Linked DNA regions of Macaca fascicularis. Each later gene encodes a partner of the first gene's protein in a complex. Links are inferred from orthologs where the notes say so. Each region holds a gene or a part of one and is shown in the gene's direction. Other genes may lie near its edges.

Region 1 (5,466 bases):
GGGTGCTGGCCATATATCATGCAAGCAGATACAAATGAATGATGATTAAAATTGCTGTTTAATGAGCACCTACTATGTTCCCGACACTGTGCCAGGCCATATACATGTATTCTTTCTTATCTTCACAGTCCAACCTGCAGGGCAGGCATTATTACTCCCATTTTAGAGACAGGGAAACTGAGGCTAAGAGAAGCAAAATAACAAAGTGTTACAAAGTCAAAGTCAGGACTGGAGTCTAAAGCTGTCTGACTCTCAAACTTGTGTTCTTTTCCCTGGCTGTTCCCAAAGTGTGGGACGATTTTAAGGAGCACATGGACATATAATTAAACATATACTCACTTTACAGTTCTTTTAAAAATCTTTCTCATTTTTTCAAAGAGGAAGTCTCTGGAGCTAGAATAGAGTTAATGCCTCTCAAAGCCTTGCTAATCCTCCTTTTAAAACAAAAATCAAGAGCAGGCCTGGGGTGGAGGGCCTTCAGCAAGCAAAGCAACCAGCTGGGGTTTGATAACCTTGTTTTGCTTCCTCATAATTTATTTTTAGGGTTACCTTTTATTTATGAGAAGTGATACTGGTTCTTGTCTCTTGGCGATGATGTAAGGTTTACATTTAAGGTAAATGTACTGGCCAGGCATGGTAGCTCACGCCTGTAATCCCAGCATTTTGGGAGGCCAAGGCAGTCAGATCACTTGAGGTCAGGAGTTTGAGATTAGCCTGGTCAACCTGGTGAAACCGCATCACTACTAAAAATACACAAATTAGCCAGGCATAGTGGTGCACACCTGTAATCCCGCTACTCAGGAGGCTTAGACGGGAGAATTGCTTGAATCCGGGAGGTAGAGGTTGCAGTGCGCTGAGATGGTGCCATTGCACTCCAGCCTGGGTGATGGAGCGAGACCCTGTCTGAAAAAATAAAAGAAAATAAAAGTATTGAAATTAACAAGAAGTAATTAATAGCATGGGTGGTACCTGGATGTAGTAAAATGGTGAAGATGAAACACAAATTGATGGAGAGAGGGAGCATTGAGACTTGAGTTCTCATTTGGACTCTGTCACTGTGAAACTCTGGGCAAGTGACCCTCCTCTTTGGTGCTCAGTCTCAACTATCTGTAAAATGAAAGAGTGTGAGTTTACCCTTCCAGCTTTACATTCTAGCATTTTATGAGGGAAGGGCTGGATGAGCAGATGATGAGGAGTTGAAGGAAGAAAACATGATGGGTCTTGGAAAGGAGCAGGAAGGGAAGCAGAAGAATAGGAGGAAGAGGCCAAGTGCTAAACATAGCCCCAAACAGCACTAGGGCCAGCTGAAGTCACCTAGCTTCAGGACTCCAGGGGAGCTGCTGGAGTCCCCATATCCAATGGGATCTTTGGGAAGAGGAGTGACTCAGGCATCAAGCCCAAAGGAATTCTGTTCAGTTCAGAGAATGTGTGAGTTTCCAGTACCACTGCTTTGTAAAATATCAAAATGATTCTCTGGGTGCGATTATAATCAGGCAATTTACTTGAAAACAAACATTCCAAATATCATGCAGATTCCACTTTCTGTTTTGACTTGCACTTCAGTTTGCAGCCTCTGTCCTGGATGACTTTTACCTTTCTGCTGAAGAGGCTACAGCGGAGATTTCAAGATCCCTTCAAATTGCACCATTCTGTTTTTAGGTCTATCCAGAACCACCCACTGCATGCAGAGAAAAACAGTACCTAATAAACAGTCAGTGCTGTTCTTTGTGCCAGCCAGGTGAGATGCCAACCCTCTAGCCCCATCATGGAGCCCCCCTTTGCTTTGGTGGCAGACGCAGACCCCATGTGTTAACTGTAAACTCAAATCTGAAACAACCCACTTCCCAGTCCTGCTTCACTGTCAGAATGTTCTGGGTTCCCTCTCTACCAGGTAAACCTCTGTCTACCCTGAACTAGGGATCCCAGCTCCTCCATCTTCCTTGCCTGACTATGAAGGGTCCAAGACTTTCATCTTTGAATCCCCTACCCTAAAGCCTGGCCTGATCATTGTGTGGTTAGTGTCTGACTCATGGAGTTGGCCAGAGCCCTCCCTCATTTCCTGATGTTTTCCAGGACAGAAACTGGTGAGTGACTGCACAGAGTTCACCGAAACAGAATGCCTTCCTTGCGGTGAAAGCGAATTCCTAGACACCTGGAATAGAGAGACACGCTGCCACCAGCACAAATACTGCGACCCCAGTGCGTGGGCTGTTGGGAAAGGGACGCTTGGGAGCCGGGTTGATATTGCAGCTGATATTCCCAACAATGCAGCCATTCTAATTTTATGTAGCCAGGGTTTGTTCTGATTGGTTGGAGTCCGGCTTGTACTGGTCATTAAATGATTTGATTGCCATCTCTACTTGGAAGAGGGTCTGAGGAAGAAAGAGCAGGCAATGTGGGGAGTGAGGCTCAGACTATGGTCCAGTGGGGTGTTCCCATCCTTCCTGCCCTTCTCTTCTCAGACCTAGGGCTTCAGGTCCAGCAGAAGGGCACCTCAGAAACAGACACCATCTGCACCTGTGAAGAAGGCCTGCACTGTACGAGTGAGTCCTGTGAGAGCTGTGTCCCGCACCGCTCATGCTTGCCTGGCTTTGGGGTCAAGCAGATTGGTAAGTGGCTCATCTGGGAATCAGTTTTGGAGGTGGGACAGAGGAGCTTAGGGCCCAGGGTGAGGGGCTGGGCAGTGGGCACTTAGCTCCAGAGGCAGAGGAAGCGGAGGCTCCAACCTATGTCGGCATCCCCACTGGAGTGAGCTGCAGATGGGACCTTGTTCATTCTTCCTCCTGCCATGGGCATCTGCCTTTGAAGGGCAATGGGAGAAATCCTCCTGGGGATTGCAGCTGTTGGGGGCAGCACCACATCAGGGGAAGAGTGTTCAAGGCAGGAGCTCTTCCCGTCCTGCCTGGCCACTGGCTCCCTTGTGAGCTTGACAGGTGGTCCACTGTGATGGTTAATGTCCCCCTCCCCACCCACTCCCAGCTACAGGGGTTTCTGATACCATCTGTGAGCCCTGCCCGGTCGGCTTCTTCTCCAATGTGTCATCTGCTTTTGAAAAGTGTCGCCCTTGGACAAGGTATAAGCACTCATCGCTTGTGTTTCCTGCTCTAAGAGTGGCATGGAGCTGCCTCCATTCTCCAGCCACCTGTCCTGTCCCCGCTCCCAGAGGTCCACACGTACTCATGCACTTGTGAAGCATCTGCAGAGTGGCCTCATGGCCAACCATATGGGCACGTTTCCACATTTTTCTTGCCTGCTCTCTCTTTGAGGTAATAGACACTGTTGACCTCTCGCTTCATGAGAGCCTCCTATTCTGGGAGTATTGGGACACTTATCTTAGCTTTCCTTCTGCCCCTCCTGCTTCTCCTCAGTTTTCCTCCTCTTGCTTTCACCTTACCTGGCTTTCTAGGGCTTTCTGGGCTCTAGCTGCTCACCCTGAGGGCCTCCCTCTCTTATATCCAGCTCCAAACCCACACCTGGTCCTGCCCTCTGACTGTCTACATGTTTTGGGAACATACTCACTGTCTCCACTGTTGTCACTTTAGTTTGGGCTTCATCACTGTGGTCTGGGTGATGCCTTTTCTGCCTCCTGGCCTCCCTGCTTCTGCTCTCTGCCCTCCAGCTGGTTCTCTCTTCATCCTATTGCCAACATGAACGTGCGACAGTTTCTTTCAGGTCATAACACTCTCCTATTTGAGATGCTTCCTATCTTTCTGTTGGAACCAAGACTCCTTAGCATGGCATCAGACCTTCCTGCTGCATTCCTGATCTCTTTCCTGCATCGCACAGCTTCATGCTACTTGCAATCCTCTGAACACACTGTTCATTCTCTTCCGTCAAACTCATCTGCCTGGAATACCTTAAACACGGGCGGCAAGCCAGGTGTGGTGGCTCACGCCTGTAATCCCAGCACTTTGGGAGGCCAAGGTGGGTGGATCACTTGAGGTCAGGAGTTCAAGACCAGCCAGCCCAACAAGGTGAAAACCCATCTCTACTAAAAATATGAAAAAATTAGCTGGGTGTGGTGGTGGGCGCCTGTAATCCCAGCTACTCGGCAGGCTGAGGCAGGAGAATCGCTTGAACCCGGGAGGTGGAGGTTGCAGTGAGCCGAGATAGCACCACTGCACTCCAGCCTAGGCAACAGAGCGACATTCTGTCTCAAAAAACAAACACCTGCCCCATTAACTTTTGGCATTTGATTTTTAAAAATGGGCAAGATAGGCACATGGGACAGAAGGCACAAAAGAGCCAGAGCAATGTCTTTCTCCCATCCCTGCCCCTTAGCTTCCCAGTTATCTCTGGAGGGAGCCATTGTTCCTTGCGTATCCTTCCAGAGATTCTACATATAAACAAACCAACACACAACACACACACACACACACACACACACACACACACACACACAATCTCCCTCCTTTTACTTTTGCACAAATAGGAGTATACCATATACATTTTATTTGTTAACTGTCTGCCTTTCCCTAATAGATTGAAAATTCCTTAAATGTAGAGACTTGGCCTTTTTTTTTCCTTCCGTTGATACATCCCCTATTCCTAGAACAGTACCTGATGCATAGTAGGTGCTCAAATTTTTACTGATAAATGTTGACTGATAACTGGGGGCCCCAGTGGTATAGTATTAATGGAACCAGTACACTGGCTTACAAATCTGATTACAGTTCAGTAAGTGTGTGACCCTCACGGAGCCTCAGTCTCCTCATCTGGGAAATGAGAATGACTTTCATTTCACAAGGCTTGAGCTAAAAACATGTAAAGTGTATTGTAAACTCCTGAATGCTCTACTCATGTAAGACTAAAGTAGGCTGGGCACGGTGGCTCACACCTGTAATCCCAGCACTTTGGGAGGCCAGGCGGGCGGATCATGAGGTCAAGAGATGGAGACCATCCTGGCTAATATGGTGAAACCCTGTCTCTACTAAAAGTACAAAAATTAGCTGGGCATGGTGGCGTGCGTCTGTAGTCCCAGCTACTCGGGAGGCAGACGCAGGAGAATCACTTGAACCTGGGAGGCTGCAGTTAGGCCCAGATCGCGCCACTGCATTCCAGCCAGTCGGGCAAAAGAGCGAGACTCCGTCTCAAAAAATAAATAAATAAAAATTAAAAAAAGGCTAAAGTATATGCTTTCTTCAAAGATTCTCTCTCTTTCTCCCACCTTAGATGATTTTTCCTTTGCAACGTCCTGTGTCCATTCTGCTCTACTCTTCCTGGGGCCACCTGGACCAGGTCTTCATCATCTCATATCTAGATGCTTGCTGTGCCTCCTGACTGGCCACTCTTCTGTAATTTCTCCTCCTCTGAGCTCTCAGGCAGCTGAATCCTCTCACTAGTGAAGTCGCCTGGTTGGATGCTGATGAGACTGACCAGCTGAATCCAGTCGAAAACTTCACACCTGCCAGTGATCTGGTTCTAAAGACACAATTTTCCATAGTTTCCTAACACCATCCTGCATGC
Region 2 (6,226 bases), on another chromosome or scaffold:
AAACCCATGAAAGTTCATGAAACCCACGAATCACCCAATGAAACCATGGAGAAGAAGAAGAGAGGGGAGGAGAGGAGAAGGGAAAAAGAAAGGAAATAGTGAGAAGGAACACCAAAGTTTTAAGGGGTATGAAGAGAAAAGAGGATAACATGAAGAAGGATTTTGAGAGGCAGAAGCCCTTAAGAATGGGGTGATATAGAATTCAAGCGGGGAGAGCATTCAGGAAGATGACAACAGGATAATAGGTCAACAGAGTAATAGAAAGGTCACTAAAAATAAACCCTAAGAAGTATTCAGCCAAAACTATTATTGAGCTAATAATTGTGGGATCAATTTCAGGGGAATATTGTGGGCAGAAGTCAGACTGTAGGAGACTGGGGATCAAGAAATTGAGGCAAGGAGGTTGGACAACAACTGTTTTTTCAAGTTGGTCACGTGAACAAATCCTGACATTGTCTGCATCTTTGTGGTTCCTTCAGCATCCCCTCCCTCGGGTCTTGGCTGAGCTGATTGCAGGGCCCCTGCAGCTCTGGCACTCTCAAGTTGTATAAAACTGTCAGTGCAGAAGTCCTTGAGCCCATTTTGGCTCTCATGATAATTTTCCTTCAGTGGAACTAAGGTTACTTGTCTAAGAACCGAAGTCTCTGACTTGACTGATCAAAGTTCATCACGTGCATTGAAGCCACCTACTTGGCAGATGTAGTGAAAAGCTACATAGATCTGGGCCCAGGACAGGATGCTGGGGCGTGGGAGGGGAAGAAAGCAGGTGCTAACTATATAGATAGCATGCCTATCGGAGCAGTTTTTACATTTCCTATTTGTCTCTCAAAACAATTTTATAGGAATCATCAAAGTAATTTTATCATGGTTTCTAGACCAGGTTTGGATGTGAGGTAGGGATTTCCACAGCTGCTTTTAGTTTGAAGGAAATCTGATAAGATGATGCAAAAGTCCTTCAGAAATGTGTAATCCTACACACTTCAGTGATTCAATTCATTGTCAAAACTTAAGGTGTTTTTAATATCGTTATTGTTCATTTGGTTTTTACCAACATGTAAGGAGTTGGCAATTATTTGTAAAACTCATGTCTTAGGCTAAATAAATTCCAAAAAATTCAGGATGAGAATTGTTTATTGCTTAACGTGTTTCAAATTTCTTCCATGCACTTCTTTATTAGATCTTCACAGCAACCTATGGGATAAGCAAGACAGGTGCAAGTGCCTCCTTTGGGTATGAGGAAACTGAGGTCTAAAGAGATGAAGAGATTTGCCCAAGGCTCATAGCAATTTATTGGTAGAGCAAAGACTAGAATTCAGATCTCTTAACTGCAGCCTATTTTCCCGATTCTGAACCATTACATCAGCATCAAAAGTTATCTAATAGATTGGAACGGTGTACACAGGCAACTTAGCTACATCAAGCCACGATTTTTACTTTAACTTCAATTCCAGAGTCTTGGCCTGATTTCCCTCAAGATCCTACTTGTCTTTGCCTTTAAGAAATTTATTTTTCTTGCATTATCTTTCCAGCTACATTTTATTTAATAACCATCAGCATCCTTTTTTTGCCTTATGCCATGTAGACTTGACCTGAAAACCTGCCAGGCTTTCATTGAGTTTAGCGATTAAAGAAGTAAAGTTTTGAGAAGCAATTAGTTGATGGGACACCAGTCATAAAATCAATCCAAACTTTTGTTGACATGTGTTTCTTTCCCCATATACCAGGTTCCCGCTTGATATTAGTAAGATTGAAATTGAAATAAGTCTATTGCTGGTGGATGAATTTGTCACTTTCCTTGAAACTGGTGAACCCAAAAAGTTAGACAGTGATAGGAAAATACTGCCATTGTCTGTTAAGAAGTCTATGACATTTCAAGGCAAGAATGAATATATGGAAGAAGAAACTTGTTTCTTCTTTACTAACAAAAAGGAAAGGCTGGAAGTGAATGATATGGGTATAATTTAAAAAAAAAAAAAAAAAAAAAAACCTTTACGTAACATTTTTGCTGGGAGAGAAGACTACGAAGCACATTTTCCAGGAAGTGTGGGCTGCAACGATTGTGCGCTCTTAACTAATCCTGAGTAAGGTGGCCACTTTGACAGTCTTCTCATGCTGCCTCTGCCACCTTCTCTGCCAGAAGATACCATTTCAACTTTAACACAGCATGATCGAAACATACAACCAACCTTCTCCCCGATCTGCGGCCACTGGACTGCCCGTCAGAATGAAAATTTTTATGTATTTACTTACTATTTTTCTTATCACCCAGATGATTGGGTCAGCACTTTTTGCTGTGTATCTTCATAGAAGGTTGGACAAGGTAAGATGAACCACAAGCCTTTATTAACTAAATCTGGGGTCCTTACTAATTCATAGGTTGGTTCTACCCAAATGATGGATGATGGTAGAAACCAAATAGAAGAATGGTCTTGTGGCATAATGTTTGTTGCCTAGCGATGAAGCCTCATATTCTTGTCTCTGGTTAGGATCTTGGGATCTGGAGTCAGACTGCCTGGGCTCAAATCTTGGCTCTGCCCATGCCATCTCTGTTATCCTGGGGCAAGTGCCTCAGTTTCCATATCTGAGAAATGGGGATGGCATTGGTGTCCATTTCATAGATCAAGTGAGTTTAGCCTTGTAAAGAGCTTAGAAGGGGGTCTGATACATAGTAAGCACTATGTACGCACTAGCTATAATTATTTGCTAAAGTTCTGCTTGAAAAGTAAGCTATTATTTTATGGAGACAACTTTTTTCTTTTAAATTTCCAGCTAGGCAAGAAGAGTGTCAATTTGATCTAAAATTTCATAGTGCTTCGGATTAACAGACATGGATAAGTCCCAGAATTTGCAGTCTTTTAGTAAAAGTAGCATTCTCTGTGTAATTCTTCGCAAACACTGATTGTAGTTGCAAGATGCTCAGTTTCCCTCTGAGATGTTTTACATTTTTAAATGGTTAGACTTGCAGGAACAAAAGAGCAGAGTAACTTAGTAGGCTGTTTTGCATTCTTAGGAAAAGAAAACCATCAGGATTTATTTTGTTTTCATGAATTTTTTCACTTCCACTGAGGAGTATAATTGGCTGGTGTTGACAAAACACCAATCATAGATGTAAAGCAGAAAGTTGATTAGTTTTCTGGCTGTTCCTAAAATTCTGGATGCAGGAACTGTGGCTAGAAAGCATCTGGATGATTGCACTTTATCAGGGATACTTGAGTGTCCTCTGTTAGGATCTGGACCTAGAATTAATGTCACGAGATTTTTCCATCAGGATAAAGTGAGATAGTGAGGGCTGAAGTCATCCACTGGGTTATCCAAATTTTAGGTTTCACTGCTGAAAAAAGAGGGGGCTTCTGGTCTGGTTGGTTATTTGTGTTTGGCCTGATGTGCTCTGTCAGTCAAATGTCTGGACATAGACCTAGCTTCAATAGTGACCTCGGTGGACTGATATTTACCATATTATTTATATGTGCTCTTAATGACAGCAAAAGCTGCCAGCTAACTGAATCTTGTTTTGAATCTAAAAAAATCTACTCTTAAAGCAAGAAAATGGTGCAAAATTAGTTGATAGTGCAAGTGAATTCTATACACTTAATTATTCTAAGACATTGGAAAATAAAATATCTTGTTACTTTGAGGATAAAAGATGATTTCTTTAAAAATGCAAATGTTTTCTACAAATACTAAAGTTAAAAGGGAGAGAGATGTAATTAGAACTCATTAACTGACACATTGCAAATTAACTTCTTTTTATAAAGCACTGCATCACAAACACTAAAATGAAGTGGGCAAATTAGCTCTGCAGAAAACTATTTTCTAGGCTGATGTTTATAATGACCAATCATTACTGAAGCAATGAGAAATGTGACAATTACAGAATATTGCTGCTATAGTATGTTGAAAAAATACGCATTTTGTAATGAACATTTAGTAGAATAGCTCTGATTTCTACCTGGAGTTTCTGATAACATGACATCTTAATTGCTGGCTTTTATAGATTTTTAAACTGCAAATACAAAATAGCAATCAGCCAATATAATAACTTATTATTCCCCATTTATGCCTGAAAGTCCTCCTCTTGTTGATGCCATGGAAATGAATGTAGAGACAGATATCATTAGCTGTATTCTCCTTCTGAATGACATTTATCATATCCTTGTTATTTCAAAATAGATAGAAGATGAAAGGAATCTTCATGAAGATTTTGTATTCATGAAAACGATACAGAGATGCAACACAGGAGAAAGATCCTTATCCTTACTGAACTGTGAGGAGATTAAAAGCCAGTTTGAAGGCTTCGTGAAGGTAAGGAGCTTAGTTGCTGGTAAAAGTGTCATTGAAATGTTCTACTACATTTTCTAAATTGGGAAACTGACAATGCCAATGTTTAAAGATTGGTTACAGACACAGACACACGCACACACAAACATGCATATATACACTCATACATGGGTGTGTGTGTGTGTTAAAAAAAAAAAAAAAAAAGACACTCTCTGGGGAAAACACACCCTTAGAGGCACAGTCAAACATATTTGTGAGCTTACATATGCAGCTACCACTAGGCAAAATGATAAAGTCCACCAAGCTTGGTTTTTGCATTTCTGTGTCTCCCCATCTAAACCTTGATGCTCTCTCACTGGGGACCCATGGTCTGATCCCCATTTCCTAGGGAAGCAATAGCCATCGACAGCTGCCGTGGCAGCAGGCCACAAGTGAAGGGACTCCTGAAGACTGGTAACAGTCTGTGGTGCTTCTCTGATGATGGAATTTTAGATGTCCTGACAGTAAGATCTTTCCCTTTTACTGGGGAGAGAGGTGCGGGGAGTAAATAATAGACATTCTCAGTGCCGCTCAAACCAGGTTCTATATAATATCACTTGCTCATGAAGCCCACCCACTCTATGACTGGTCATGACCAGAGGCACAGAGGGTTCAAAGCCTTTTAGCCCACCAGGCTGGTAGCCAGCATGAAGTCACTGCAGTGACTGTGGCTTATAACAGATACCTAAAACAAGAATTTTTACAACCTTTACATTAATTCCATCGTCACAGACATGGGGTCTAGAGGCTCTTTCTCCTGAGGCAGAACATCAAGAGTTCTTTCTGCCTATGTCCCTCTCAGAACACTGAGTCAAATACCCTTGGGCCTCGGCTCACTTAGGGGTCATTTCTAGGAGGCAGCACTTCACATTGACGACAGTTCTGGGCCAGATGGGTGGGTATCTGGGTAAACCAACAGGAGTTAGTTCTCACATATAGATTATGTGTAATTTAATGCAGGTGTGAAATGTTTAAGATCTTATTTCTGATCTTATTCCTGCCCTCCTGTACTGTTACCGAGGTGTCATTTTAATTCATTAGTGAAGACTCTAACAGCTTATTCCTGAGTCACCTACGGAGATCAGAATGCAGCTCAAATCCACTGCTCGCCTTCAGGTTCTTTACACTAATCTAGGCTGTAGATGAAACTCCTAAACCCTTTCTTTGCAAGACTGGCCAGCTAGGAAAACGATTTGAGTTTCTTCGGTTCTTCGAGGATTTGGGCCAGTATTACAGAGTATTGGAAGGTGTTATGAGATTAAATGTGAATAAAGGCACTTTCAAAACAATGGTTAATAATCCAAATAACAGACTGAATGTGCTTGGCTGTGTGACTTTGAGTAAATAACTTCACCTTTCTGGGCCTCAGTTTTGTCATCTATAACATGAGAAGACAGATTATCTGTAAGGGCACTACTAGCTCTGACATTCTATAATTATGTGATAAGCCTTCAGTTCCCTCCAATGGCAGTGAGAGTGGCTTGTCAGTCCCCCTCGTTTCTTACAGAGACTTTTACGGGTGAATTGTCAATTCCTCACGTCAATATTTCGGGTTGGATATGTATGTAAAGCTCCCAAAATCAGCTACCAAGGATAGGAGTAAGGAAAACAGTCAGTTTGGCCTCCCTGCTTATGCTTGTATGAAAAAAGTGACAGCTCCAATGTTTCATATTCTTAAAAGGCAGATCTTCTCAGGCATGTCAGCCAGGGCCCCAGGAATCTCCTCCTTACACACAACTAAGGAGGCCCCTTGTCTCTACTGCAGCAGGTGTGGAACCCTAGTCAACACCACCTATACCTAAGATTATGCACAATGAGTAGATACAAAGTCCTCCAGCTACTCAATCCTCCCCAAATGATGGATTCCCTTTCCAATACACTTTCCCCCAAATTGCTCACTCTAAAACAA

The links. Proteins that work in one complex are often made in the same cells at the same time.
Region 2: the proteins of CD40 (region 1) and CD40LG are in contact, whole or in part, in a crystal structure (PDB 3QD6), measured with the Homo sapiens proteins. The link is inferred for Macaca fascicularis from reciprocal best matches to the Homo sapiens genes CD40 and CD40LG. Residues at the interface, in NP_001241.1 of Homo sapiens: Glu64, Ser65, Glu66, His76, Cys77, Gln79, Tyr82, Asp84, Asn86, Leu87, Trp109, Cys119; in NP_000065.1 of Homo sapiens: Ile127, Glu129, Ala130, Lys143, Gly144, Tyr145, Tyr146, Cys178, Pro217, Cys218, Gln220, Ser245, Gln246, Ser248, His249, Gly250, Thr251, Gly252.

The regions. Positions count from the first base shown.
Region 1 is NC_088384.1:102,171,828-102,177,293, forward strand, and holds part of CD40 (tumor necrosis factor receptor superfamily member 5), read left to right. Parts: intron 1-1,659; coding exon 1,660-1,738; intron 1,739-2,073; coding exon 2,074-2,199; intron 2,200-2,462; coding exon 2,463-2,609; intron 2,610-2,979; coding exon 2,980-3,073; intron 3,074-5,466.
Region 2 is NC_088395.1:142,789,786-142,796,011, forward strand, and holds the start of CD40LG (CD40 ligand), read left to right. Parts: upstream 1-2,097; 5' UTR 2,098-2,164; coding exon 2,165-2,320; intron 2,321-4,170; coding exon 4,171-4,302; intron 4,303-6,226. UniProt on the Homo sapiens protein: Cytokine that acts as a ligand to CD40/TNFRSF5. Costimulates T-cell proliferation and cytokine production.